Callithrix jacchus: one gene and its partners. The protein of the gene in region 2 binds, or shares a complex with, the protein of the main gene of each other region. Links are inferred from orthologs where the notes say so. Each region holds a gene or a part of one and is shown on either strand. Other genes may lie near its edges.

Region 1 (4,192 bases), about 73 Mb from region 2:
CTTCTATTTATGAAGAACTGTTATTTTTACATTTAATGCCCAATTTTCACCACTTGTTCATGTTAGTTCTCTGAAATGTTACTGCCTATGAACCGTGACATGCACTCGTTGTAACAGAAGCAGAAGTTAAAAGATGTAGACATCACACAATTCAATGGTCATTTTAAAAATAGAAAACAATGATAAAAATTCAGTTGCCAACTTAAGAGGATTTTATACATTATGTTCTATTTTTCATGGTCTGAAATTATTTCTCAAGAAAATGGATTTTATTTCCAAACCTTTACTATCTTTGCTAGAAAGAGAAAAACTAGTTTTCTCTTTGACAAAATTGTCCCAGGAGAAGAACACAAACACTTTTCCAAATTAGAGCATAAGTCTTCCTTAAATGTCCCAGTGTGACAATTAGGATAGAATAGCAGTCTTTTAAATATCATAAAGGCTATTGTTAAGATGGTGGTTTTGGCCGTTTTGCAGATGGTCCATCGAAGTTAGTTACGTTATCAATGTTATTTTCATCTTCTGCATCATCTTCATCATCACCTTTTAAAATAAATATTTGTTGTATGACAATATGTTCTGTGGTTGAAAGAAATATATATAGCTAAAGTGGTTGAGAGTAAAACCATTTCACTTTAGGAACTAATAAAACCATGCACATTTTAGATTAAAATGATTTTGAGAATTTCAGTGTTTAAAATCTTTATTGTCTATCACTTTCCTTTTTGGAGATATCAATTCATTCATAATAAAATCCACTCTTTTAATGTGTACAGCTTAGTGGTTTTTAGTATATTCACTAGCCTGTGCAACCATCACCACTATCTAATTCTAGAACACTTTCATCACTCCAAAAATAAATGATATGCCCATTAGCAGTCACTTTCCATTCCCCTCAGCCTTTGGCAACCACTAACCTACCTTTTTTCCCCTTAATTTTTATTAGAGACAGGGTCTTGCTATGCTGCCCAGGCTAGACTCAAACTCCCAGTTCAAGTGATCCTCCTGCCTCAGCCTCTAGAGTAGTTGGGACTACAGGTGCCCACCACTGCACTCGGCTCACTAATCTACTTATCTCTATGGATTTGCCCCTTCTGTACATTTATAAACAAAATCATATAACATGTACCCTTTGCATCTGGTTTTCACTTAGCATAATGTTTTCAAGGTTCATTCATGTTGTAGCATATATCAATACATCATTACATGTTATTGCTAGTAATATTCCATTGTAGGGACAGATCACATTTTGTTAATGCACTTCCACCTCCTAAAGGTGCAATGCCAAGCCCAGCCAATTGTTGTTTCCACATTGTAGCCACTATAAATAATGCTGCTATGAATATTCATGTGTAAGTTTTTGTGTGAACATGTTTCCAGTTCTCTTGAGAGGGCTACCAGTGGAACTGCTGGGTCATGTGGTAACTTCAGGTCAACTTTTTGAGGAGCTACCGAACTCTATTTCCCAGTGGTTATACCATTTTACATTTCCACCAACAATGTACAAGGTCTCCAATTTCTTCACATTCCAGCCAACACTTCTTGTTCTTTTTGAGTATAGCCAACATCCATATTACCAAGATGTTAATTCCCAAGATGGAAGGAAAGTAGTTTAGGCTTTTCTTAAAGAATTGTAAATCCTGACTCCAATATCTAGTTTTTGGGTTTTTCAGTTCAGGACAGTCCAAATGAATCTGTCTAGTTTTGCATTCAAGACAGTTTAAAAACACTAATGCAGTTAAACTTCATGTTTCTACTTTCAAACTGCACCTACAAAACCGGAATATAGCAAGAGAGTCCCTGGGAGTCAATACGTGTTAATATTAAGTCTGTCTCAATCTTTGGAACCTGTTCCTACTCTGCGATAGACTGCACTGCACTCTTCCAAACATAGTTTAACACCTGGTAAAACTTTCTATTTTCTTCAACACCCAGCTCAAAAGTCTTGTCATCTCTGAAGCCTTCCTGGGGTCTCTGGGTTTGCAATAGTTACAGAGGGCCACAGAATCACTTTCACTCTTAATAGAGTGTCTGCCTGTCTAATCCCCTTGTGTTTAACGAGGGTAGGAACTCAGCCACATTCACCTCATTCTTCCTCCAGGGCTCAGCTCAGGGTTTGGCACATAATAGTAGGCATTTGGCACTATTTCTTTTTTTGTGATATAAATCAAAAAGTGGTAAGAGTCGTGGAAATGCTTGAGTAGAAGCAATCCAGATAAATATGTTGAAAATGCCAACAATTTTTATCTTTTAAATTTATTCTTAAAATAATAATATAAATGGGGTCTCGATATGTTGCCCAGGCTGTTCTAGAACTCCTGACCTCAAGTGATCCTCCTGCCTCGGCCTCTCAAAGTGTTAGGATTACAGGCGTAAGCCACCTGCCCCGACCCACCAAAAATTTTTAGATGCAATTCTTCTTTCCTCGAGGCTCACTTTGTCCAAGTCTGTCACTCTACACAGGCTCCCCAAGCCGATTTCCCCTGGGCGCCCGCCCCGCCCTCCTGTCGTTGCAGCACAGTCTCAGAGCTCACCGTCCAAGGCCTCGTCTGGAGCCGCCGCCACCCGGTGCTGCACCTCCCCCTGTACCAGGGGGCCGAATAATTCCGTTACTAGCTCCTTCATCTGGGCCACGCCAGACAACAGGCCCTGAAAAGGGTCGCCGCCACCCGGCTCCTCACACGACACCCGCAACTTCTGCGACTTCCCTTCCTGCCAGACGTACTCTCCCAGCAACTCCATGGCGACCGCTAAGCTTAAAGAACGCGACACGGGAAAGCGCCAGCCGGAGGCGGAAATCAGCCCCCGACCGGCGCAGGCGGGAGAAGGGAGAGGAGTGACTTCCGTTTGTCGGAGGTCGCTCCTCCTCCTTTCTTCGCTTTTTTTCTTTGTCATTGGTTTCTGGCGCTCGGGCCCCGCCTCCTCCGGCTACGCCCCTCGCGGCCGCTTTTCCCGCCTCCGCCGTGGCCGAGCCGCTGTTCGGGTGACAGTTGAGGATGGCCGGGGCTGAGGGCGCCGCTGGGCGGCAGTCGGAGCTGGAGCCCGTCGTATCGTTGGTCGACGTCCTTGAGGAGGACGAGGAGCTGGAGAATGAGGCGTGCGCTGTCCTGGGCGGCAGCGACTCTGAGAAATGCTCCTACTCGCAGGTGGGCGTGCGGCCCGGGCCTCGTCTCACCCCGCTCCCGCCGAACCTCCCCTTCGCGGCTGGGCTGTCCCTATTCCCGCCTGCCACGGTCGTTTCCTCAGTGGTGGTCCGGGGCCGCCGTTCGTCTGCCGCTTCCTCACCCCAAGCCCACTCTGCCCTTTTAGCTCCAACCTCCTGGGCCCCCTTCAGCCTGTGTCCAGCAGGGGCCCCCCTCTCCCCTCTCTAACTCCGTCCGGCCCGCCTGGTTGGGTCCTTGAGCCGCTGTCCCTCCTCTCCAGCTTCTTCTTGGTGCCCCACTGCTTTTCACGAAACCACCCCGTGACCTCTCAGTCACAGACATCTTTGTTTTTGCTCTTCCCATCCTAATATTTATTTATTTATTAGGGAACTGAATGGGAGAGTCAGGTTAAAGAGATTTTCAAATCCATAAGGATTTGCGGTGAGCTCCTTGACAGCTTGTTCCTCTGCAATTTAGTTTGACAAGTGCTAGCTAGTACTTTTTCTTTTTTTCTTTTTTGGCAAAATGAAGCAAGTACCCATGTCTATTTGCAGTCCGCTCCCTCCCCTGGAAATAGACCGGAAACAGAACAGCAAGCGACTCTGGCAAGGGAGGGGAGAGAGGAGAAAAGGATCTGTTTGGCATTTGGAAGACGTTGTGAGTGAGCAAGTATTTGAGGGGGTGTGACGTGGTGTTTAGTGACTCACCCTATACTTCAAGGTACAAAAATGGAAAAGGATGGGTAGGAAGAAAACTGACAAAAGGATGAGAATTGGTAGGAAGAAGTGTTACCTAGGCAGAGGGGTGAACTGGAACACTGGAGAGATGAGGGGAGAGACTTGCATTCATTATGTGGTATGAACTGAGATCATAATAACCAGTTGTCATTGTTGACTGCAAAGTGTTGAATAAACCTGATATCCACACATAGCCCCAGGTATTTTAAAGTCTTTGCTCACCACTAAAACCATTTTTCCTCTGCTTTCCTTAAAAAAAGGGGAAAAAAGTTCTAAATCTACATGTAAACTATTTTTGAAGTGTAGTTACCT
Region 2 (3,962 bases):
TGATGGCAGAGGTAAGGTGTTGGCTATTTTGACCTAGCCAGGTTGCAGGTACATTCCTCCATCGTTGACCACTCTCCCAGCCATACCCTTGGTGTATGCAATGCAATCAATATCCTGAGAGGTTACTCCAGATTCTGTTAGTGCCTCCTGTAGTAGGTCTAGGATAACAGCTCGGTGATGCCTGGCTGTGTCACCTGGAAGGAATCCTAGAAAATGAACATAGGTCAGAGATCACAGGGATTTTCTGTAGCAAAGGTGGGTAGGAAGTTAAAGAAAGCAACAGGAGTTTTAGTGATGTAGGAAGAGACCTTTCACTTTCCTTAAGCATCCTATCTTCCAGGTTTTCAGATACATACTCTTTCCAGCTTCTACATAGGCCGTTCAACTTTCAGAAATGCTCTTCTTCCTACCCAACTCCTACTCAGCCTTCAGGACTCAATGCCAGTGGTATCTACCTCATACTCTTTGGTGATCTTTCTCTGTGACCCTACAGAACTCTATGGATGATGATGTCATTTATTTAACATAATAATTATAGCATTATAATTTTCTATGGTTTGCTCTTTTTTTTAAAAAATATGTATATTTTTTCTTTTAAAGACAGGGTTTCACCACGTTGGCCAGGCTGGTCTTGAACTCCTAACCTCAGGTGATCTACCCGCCTCGGCCTCCAAAAGTGCTGACATTACAGGCGTTGAGCCACCACACCCGGCCTGGTTTGCTCATCTTAATCATGAGTATCTCAAAGCATTGAGTATTTTATTTATCTTTGTATTCCCAGTGCCCAAGTGTCTAGAGGAGTGAATGTTAAATATACATATATATTTCTAATGAGTAATCTGTCACAATATCACCTGTTCAGGGAGGTTTTTCAGATACATGCAAGTCAGTTGCTCTCTCCTATGCATACAAGTGTTTGAAGGATGAGTAGGCAAGATATAATCGCTTACTAAAAATATCAACTAAAAGTTGTAATGTGTTTGGTACTTTCATCTTATCTTTAAGATTTAATGATACATGTATTATTCCTATCTTAAAAACAAAGACTAGGCCCGCGTGGTGGCTCAGCCTGTAATCCCAACACTTTGGGAGGCTGAGTTGGGAGGATCACCTGAAGTCAGGAGCCCAGACCAGGTTGGCCAACATGGTGAAACCTCATCTCCACTAAAAAAATAAAAATTAGCTGGGCATGGTGGCACACACCTGTAGTCCTAGCTACTCGGGAGGCTGGGGTAGAAGAGTCACTTGAACCTGGAAGGCAGAGGTTGCAGTGAGCCGAGATGGTGCCATTGCACTCTAGCCTGGGCGACGGAGCAAGACTCTGTCTCAAAAAAAATTAAAAAATAAGCCGGGTGCAGTGGCTCACGCCTGTAATCCCAGCACTTTGGGAGGTGAGATCACGAGGTCAGGGCAGATCACGAGGTCAGGGGTTCAAGACCAGCCTAACCAACATGATGAAACCCAGTCTCTACTTAAAAATACAAAGATTAGCCGGGCATGGTGGTGCACTCTTGTAATCCCAGCTACTTGGGAGGCTGAGGCAGGAGAATTGCTTGAATTCGGAAGCCGGAGGTTGTGGTGAGCCGAGAGCGCGCCATTGCACTCCAGCCTGGGCGACTCAGTGAGATTCCATCTCAAAATAAAATACAATTAAATTAAAATTAAAAATAAAAATAAAGACCAAATGTCCAGAACATATTTAATATGAATATTACAAAGCCAGCCAGTTCTGTCTGGCATGTAAGCTGGGAGTCTTTTCCACTCTTCTCTCTCCCCATCCTATTTTTTTTAAAGCATTTTTTTTTTTTAACAGGAGTGTATATTCGGGCCGGGCGCGGTGGCCTAAGCCTGTAATCCCAGCACTTTGGGAGGCCGAGACGGGTGGATCATGAGGTGAAGAGATCGAGACCATCTTGGTCAACATGGTGAAACCCCGTCTCTACCAAAAATACAAAAAAATTTAGCTGGGCATGGTGGCGTGTGCCTGTAATCCCAGCTACGTGGAAGGCTGAGGCAGGAGAATTGCTTGAACCCGGGAGCCGGAGGTTGCAGTGAGCCGAGATGGCGCCATTGCACTCCAGCCTGGGTAACAAGAGCGAAACTGCGTCTGAAAAAAAAAAAAAAAAAAAAAAAAAGGAGTGTATATTCAGGGCAACTGGAATCTATATTCCTACTAAGCATTTTTTAAACAGAATGTTTCGAATCCATCTCTATTACACTGTTTATCATGCTGAAGAATAAACATCTATTTATATATCTGATTCCACAACAAAATCATAACATCTATTTCTAAACGCTTAGCACATAAAATGCGCTCAATAAAAGGTAAACTAACTTCTCAGATCCACCTCCAAGTGCCTATACCTCTTCTAGCTATCAGCCCTGTGATGTCAATAAAGTCACATAATTTCCCTGAGACTCGGATCAAAAGCTGTAAGAACGGACAATGCACCCAAGGCCCCACTTAACTAGTATTTAGGAAGATGGAAGACTAATTCCGTGCGGGGAAGTGCGCGGAAAACTCTCAAGTCCCTTACTAACCCACCTGTGCCCGGAGGCGTGACATAAGTCCGCCGCGGGTTCGCCAGCACCTTGCCATCCCGCACCACTCCCACGCCAATCTTATTGGCGCTGCCTTCAAAACCGAGCACCGCCGGCATGGCGAAGCCGGGGAGAAAACGCCGACAGGACTCCTAGCAACCTAAGAAGTGGAGGTCCTTCCAAGTCCGCGCTGTGCCGCAGCTTTCCGGGGCACAGAAGAAGAAGGCGAGACTGCAGATAGCACTGCGAGAGACACCACAGAACTCCCGCGAGCGGAGACCCGTCAAGGCCCCTCCAGGGACCTGTCTTCCTAACTGCCAGGGACGCCGAGCCGCCTCTGTGCTTTACATTCCTATCAGTTTTTCTATCCCTTTCCTATGGTCCAGCCCAGCCTTCGCTATTGTTTTTTTCCCCTCTTGCACAGCATTAGGATCTTAAGCCACATTCAGAGAATGTGCCGTGCATCTGGCACAACAATAAACACCCCGAAGGAGGGTTGGGGCCTTAAGTCTCCTGGGGAGAAGGGAGGCTAGGCCAAGTGTCTCCATTACGTGGTACCAGACAGACCAATCACGCACATTCTTCTGCCACGTGACTGGAGTCTCGGATCACGTGACCAGATCCGCTACCCACGTGGGGGCACAGCGTGCACCGTTCTTTGTGCTCGGGTTAGGAGGAGCTGTGCTGCGTTCTGACCAGTGCAGGCAGATACGGGGTTACTCTTCTGCTCGTAAGAGGGGCTTCGCTGGCAGTCTGAACGGCAAGCTTGAGTCAGGATCCTTAATTAAGATCCTCAGCTGGAGGGCAGATCTCGCCAGTAGGGTAAAAGGCACTATGAAATGATCTTGTTAGTGGGTGAGGGGCTGAAGGGCATATGATGCACGGAGGCTGGGAAAGGATTGAGACATAACATGGTTTGAAAAGCGGGGACCTGGTGCGGGGACGCTTTAGGGGAGGAGTCTTCTCCCCAGGTTTAGCTGATTTCATTTATTTGCGTCTGTAGGCAACGCGGTAAAAATACTCCTTCGGTGGGCGACACGGTACAGGTGCCTCCGAAGGGCGTTCGTTACGGGAATGCCGAAGCGTGGGAAAAAGGGAGCGGTGGCAGAAGACGGGGAAGAGCTCAAGACGGGTAAGAGAATGAAATAAGCCCCTCTTCCTAGAAGCTGCGGCGGGAATTTCCTTGATAACGGTAACTACAGGCCGCTCATTTTTTAAGGGGTTTGTGAAGAAGTAGCGGTAACATCACACTTTTGTTGGGTTTATAGTTAACGCCGGATCGAGGTTGGAAACTACCAACTTTTTGTCACTATGTATTACTCATTTTATAGAGCCAGAGGCCAAGAAGAGTAAGACGGCCGCAAAGAAAAACGACAAAGAGGCAGCAGGAGAGGGCCCAGCCCTGTATGAGGACCCCCCAG
Region 3 (3,141 bases), on a different chromosome or scaffold from region 2:
GCATGTGAGGAAGCTACCCAAGGCCAGGGAAAGACATCACCCCAGCAGGAAAGGAAGAAAGGTGACTCCAGTATGCAAGCAGGACAGGGACTAGCAGCTGTCCCCACCCACCAGGATACAGAAGCTCATATTCACCTGGGCAGCATTGGCCAGGGTGCCCTGAATGGTGTTTGTTGCCTCCATAGCCGGGAAACTGAAGTCTACCATAAGAGCTGCTCCAGTCCCATGCAGCACATCTTCAGAGAAAGACTAAAAAGGATCAAACCGTTTCCATGTTTTCTGAGGATACGCAGTTGTACCTCTTTATTTCCACTCTCAGAAAATCCAATTGAATCTACAAAAGAGTCCTAAGACTGAGTTTAGTGTATTTACAGGGAGCCAACTCCTTCCCCAAACACTAGTCAGTTGACCCAGCACTTTCTTCACTGTTAGAGGAAAGAAGCTCATGTTAGATTTAAAATTCAGGAAAAAAAATTAACGCTAAACTTGCAAAAATTATATGCTGTATATTACAGTTACACGTTTATTACTATTAACTTCAGGGGAAAACAACTGTAATAAATGTAACTATAAGGAAGGATTCCAAAATGTTGACAGTAGTTGATGCTGAATGAGAGCCCAGCTGATTTTCATTTTCTTCCATTTCCTAAATTGTCTTCAATTTCCTTGAATATCTGGATTCTAGAACCTCCCCTGTAACCGAAGCACAATGACTAGAATATTGGGAGGTGCTGTAGCTGAAATAAACTCAGACTTGGAACAGTAGCTCAGTTTTATTTTCTGTGGTAACAAACATTTAAGAACCAGATCAAACAAGGGGCCCCTGAGCACCCACGGGCCAGTACAGGCCGACCATGAGGCTTTCACAGGAAAATAGCAACTGTGGGAACTCCTGCCCTAGGGAAAGCTGGGTGCCCTACCTAGGGAGACGCAATATTAGACCTCACCCCATTTTCCCAGGCCAGGCTTAGCGGGGAACGGGGGGCCCAAAGCGCTGCATGGTCCGCAGCACCAGGGAAAGCTGGTCGAGAAAGTTGATGACGGAAATTCGGAGCAGGCGACAGTCTTCAGCTTTCCAGCGGCTAAAAGTGAGGGATAAAGAAAATAAAATTGGAGGTGACAACTCCTGGTCCGTCACTCTGCCGCTCAGGCACCCATTACAGCAAAGCCTCGGGAGCCCATGAGACAGCCCCTCAGGTGGAGACCGGCCCGGCGCACCTGGCGCTCCTTAGGGTTCATCCATGGGTGCCCCCTACGTCTCCATCGGTTGCCTCCCCCAACTCCAGCCCCTTTCAGAACTTACACGGTCAGGATCCTGCCGCTCACTGTGAGATCCTTCCCAATCACCCTTTGGTGGGGCTCGGCATCTGGAGCCAGGGACCCATGCGCGATTTCCGCCTCCAAGGGGGTCGGGAAAGGCACACTAAGGGTGCTGGGGGGGCATTCGGTTAAGGTGCCATCTGATACGACTTTGCCTATGTCTCAGGCCTTCTTGATCCTCTGAAGCCCCCCCTCAGGTCACCCTACCTAGAGTCATTCGCTTTACTCCTCACGTGGCCCAGGCCACCGCTGGCAGGGCTTCTCTCCTTCCATTTCTATTTCTTCCCCTCCTCCGAGCACCCCTGCTCGTCTACCCCGGTCGCCGCCCGCCCTCCTTTCTTCCTCCCCGAATCCAGCCCTCGCCCCGGCGCAGGCAGCCGCCAGTCTGTTCCCGACCTCCCCTTGGAAAGAATACAATATGTGCGGCCGTATTCCTGAACCCCTGGCCGCAGATGCGGCGTCTCTGCCAGGACCTGGCGGGTGCGGTGGGGAAGGTTCGTCAGCCGGAGCTCCCGCTGTGTCCGTGCCCCTGGGGCAGCTGTGGCCACCCTGGCCATCCCTGCCAATTGTGCCTGCGCCAGCGTGTGCATTCGCGCACCGCATGACCTCCGCCGCCACGCAGCTCGGACTCCACCCCCGAGGCGCAGGCCCCCACGCCCCGCCCTCTCTCCCGGTCCCTTTCCCGAATCCCCGCCCCCTGCGCCCGACTCCGCCCACACGCGCCGGCACTCGTTCTTGGGAAGCCTGCCTGGCGCGTGGTCAGTTCCCGCCAAGCGGCCCTGCCGGGTGCCTTCTGAGACCGAGTCAGCGGTTAAGAGGCCGCGGTCTCCTCCAGAAACTCTGTCCCTTCGCGCGTAACTCGATCCCAGGCCGTCAGTGCAAAGTGACCCACAGTCAGTCAGGCCCCAGGAAGCCAGCCCTGACGGGGTTTTGAAGACCCCGTGGTCGCCTAGCCCAGAGGCGCACCCTGCAAGGCTCCGCCCCTAACTGCGCCTTGTGACCGCAGCGCGCCTGCGCCGTCTAGGGCCTGTGGCCTCGGCCGGGCAGGCCCTAGTGAGGCCCTAGTGAGGCCCGAGGGTGTCTGGGCGCTTCCCGCCCTGTTTCTTACCGGTACCCAATATCCCCCGGAGATGTGGCACTAACGTGCATGCAGCGACTCGCGGAGGGACGGTGGCGGGGTCTGATACCCCCCCACAAGGATACTGCTCTTGCCCACGACCCCATGGTCCAACCGAGGGGGCTTCACAGTGGACGGTAAAGAGTCGGATTTACATTTTAGAGGAGGCATTTTAGAGCGGGGTGGGGGCGCTGTGCGGAGCGGGAGCCTGTCAGCAGAACGCCTGCACTGAGGCGAAATATGACGGCCTTGAACGCAAGTATTGGCGCTGTGCCTAGGTCTCATATAACGTGGAAAATCAGACTGCACAACTATGAGTATGAAAATGCCACTTTAGGCCGGGCGCGGTGGCTCACGCCTGTAATGCCAGCACTTTGTGAGGCGGAGGTGGGGGAATCACCTCAGGTCGGTAGTTCGAGACCAGCCTGGCCAACATGGAGAAATCCCGTCTCTACAAAAAAAAAAGAAAGAAAATGCCACTTTAGGGCAGGCTAAGTGGCTCCCGCCTGTAATCCCAGCACTTTGGAAGGCCAAGGGAGGAGGATCACTTAAGCCCAGGAGTTCAAGACCAACATGGGCAACATAGTGAGACCACATCTCTACAACAAATACAAAAGTAACTTTTCTTTTCTTTCTTTTCTTTTTTTTTTTTTAGAAACGGGGTCTCACTATGTTGTCCAGACTGGAGTGCAGTAGCTATCCAC

What was found.
Region 1: OSGEP (region 2) and GON7 share a complex: the UniProt entries of both Homo sapiens proteins name them as parts of the EKC/KEOPS complex. The link is inferred for Callithrix jacchus from reciprocal best matches to the Homo sapiens genes OSGEP and GON7.
Region 3: the proteins of OSGEP (region 2) and LAGE3 are in contact, whole or in part, in a crystal structure (PDB 6GWJ), measured with the Homo sapiens proteins. The link is inferred for Callithrix jacchus from reciprocal best matches to the Homo sapiens genes OSGEP and LAGE3. Residues at the interface, in NP_060277.1 of Homo sapiens: Arg50, Ile53, Leu54, Asp55, Leu57, Gln58, Leu61, Gln69, Ala84, Val87, Ser88, Val91, Val92, Arg94, Thr95, Val96, Gln98, Leu99, Trp100, Asn101, Leu315, Ser318, Gly319, Val320; in NP_006005.2 of Homo sapiens: Glu76, Ile77, Gly80, Ser81, Leu82, Pro84, Asp85, Asp125, Gln126, Leu129, Val130, Arg132, Thr133, Met134, Arg136, Phe137, Gly138, Pro139, Pro140, Val141, Arg143.

What each region holds. Positions count from the first base shown.
Region 1 is NC_133509.1:128,019,454-128,023,645, forward strand, and holds the start of GON7 (EKC/KEOPS complex subunit GON7), read right to left. Parts: upstream 2,801-4,192; 5' UTR 2,743-2,800; coding exon 2,535-2,742; intron 544-2,534; coding exon 449-543; 3' UTR 1-448. Other genes in the region: putative E3 ubiquitin-protein ligase UBR7, read left to right, coding at 2,997-3,146. UniProt on the Homo sapiens protein: Component of the EKC/KEOPS complex that is required for the formation of a threonylcarbamoyl group on adenosine at position 37 (t(6)A37) in tRNAs that read codons beginning with adenine.
Region 2 is NC_133509.1:55,177,689-55,181,650, forward strand, and holds the start of OSGEP (tRNA N6-adenosine threonylcarbamoyltransferase), read right to left. Parts: upstream 2,801-3,962; 5' UTR 2,661-2,800; coding exon 2,546-2,660; intron 207-2,545; coding exon 87-206; intron 1-86. Other genes in the region: DNA repair nuclease/redox regulator APEX1, read left to right, coding at 3,616-3,673, 3,873-3,962. UniProt on the Homo sapiens protein: Component of the EKC/KEOPS complex that is required for the formation of a threonylcarbamoyl group on adenosine at position 37 (t(6)A37) in tRNAs that read codons beginning with adenine.
Region 3 is NC_133524.1:150,271,164-150,274,304, forward strand, and holds LAGE3 (EKC/KEOPS complex subunit LAGE3), read right to left. Parts: upstream 1,959-3,141; 5' UTR 1,924-1,958; coding exon 1,736-1,923; intron 1,433-1,735; coding exon 1,304-1,432; intron 1,083-1,303; coding exon 968-1,082; 3' UTR 948-967; exon of another isoform or gene 694-947; 3' UTR 501-693; downstream 1-500. UniProt on the Homo sapiens protein: Component of the EKC/KEOPS complex that is required for the formation of a threonylcarbamoyl group on adenosine at position 37 (t(6)A37) in tRNAs that read codons beginning with adenine.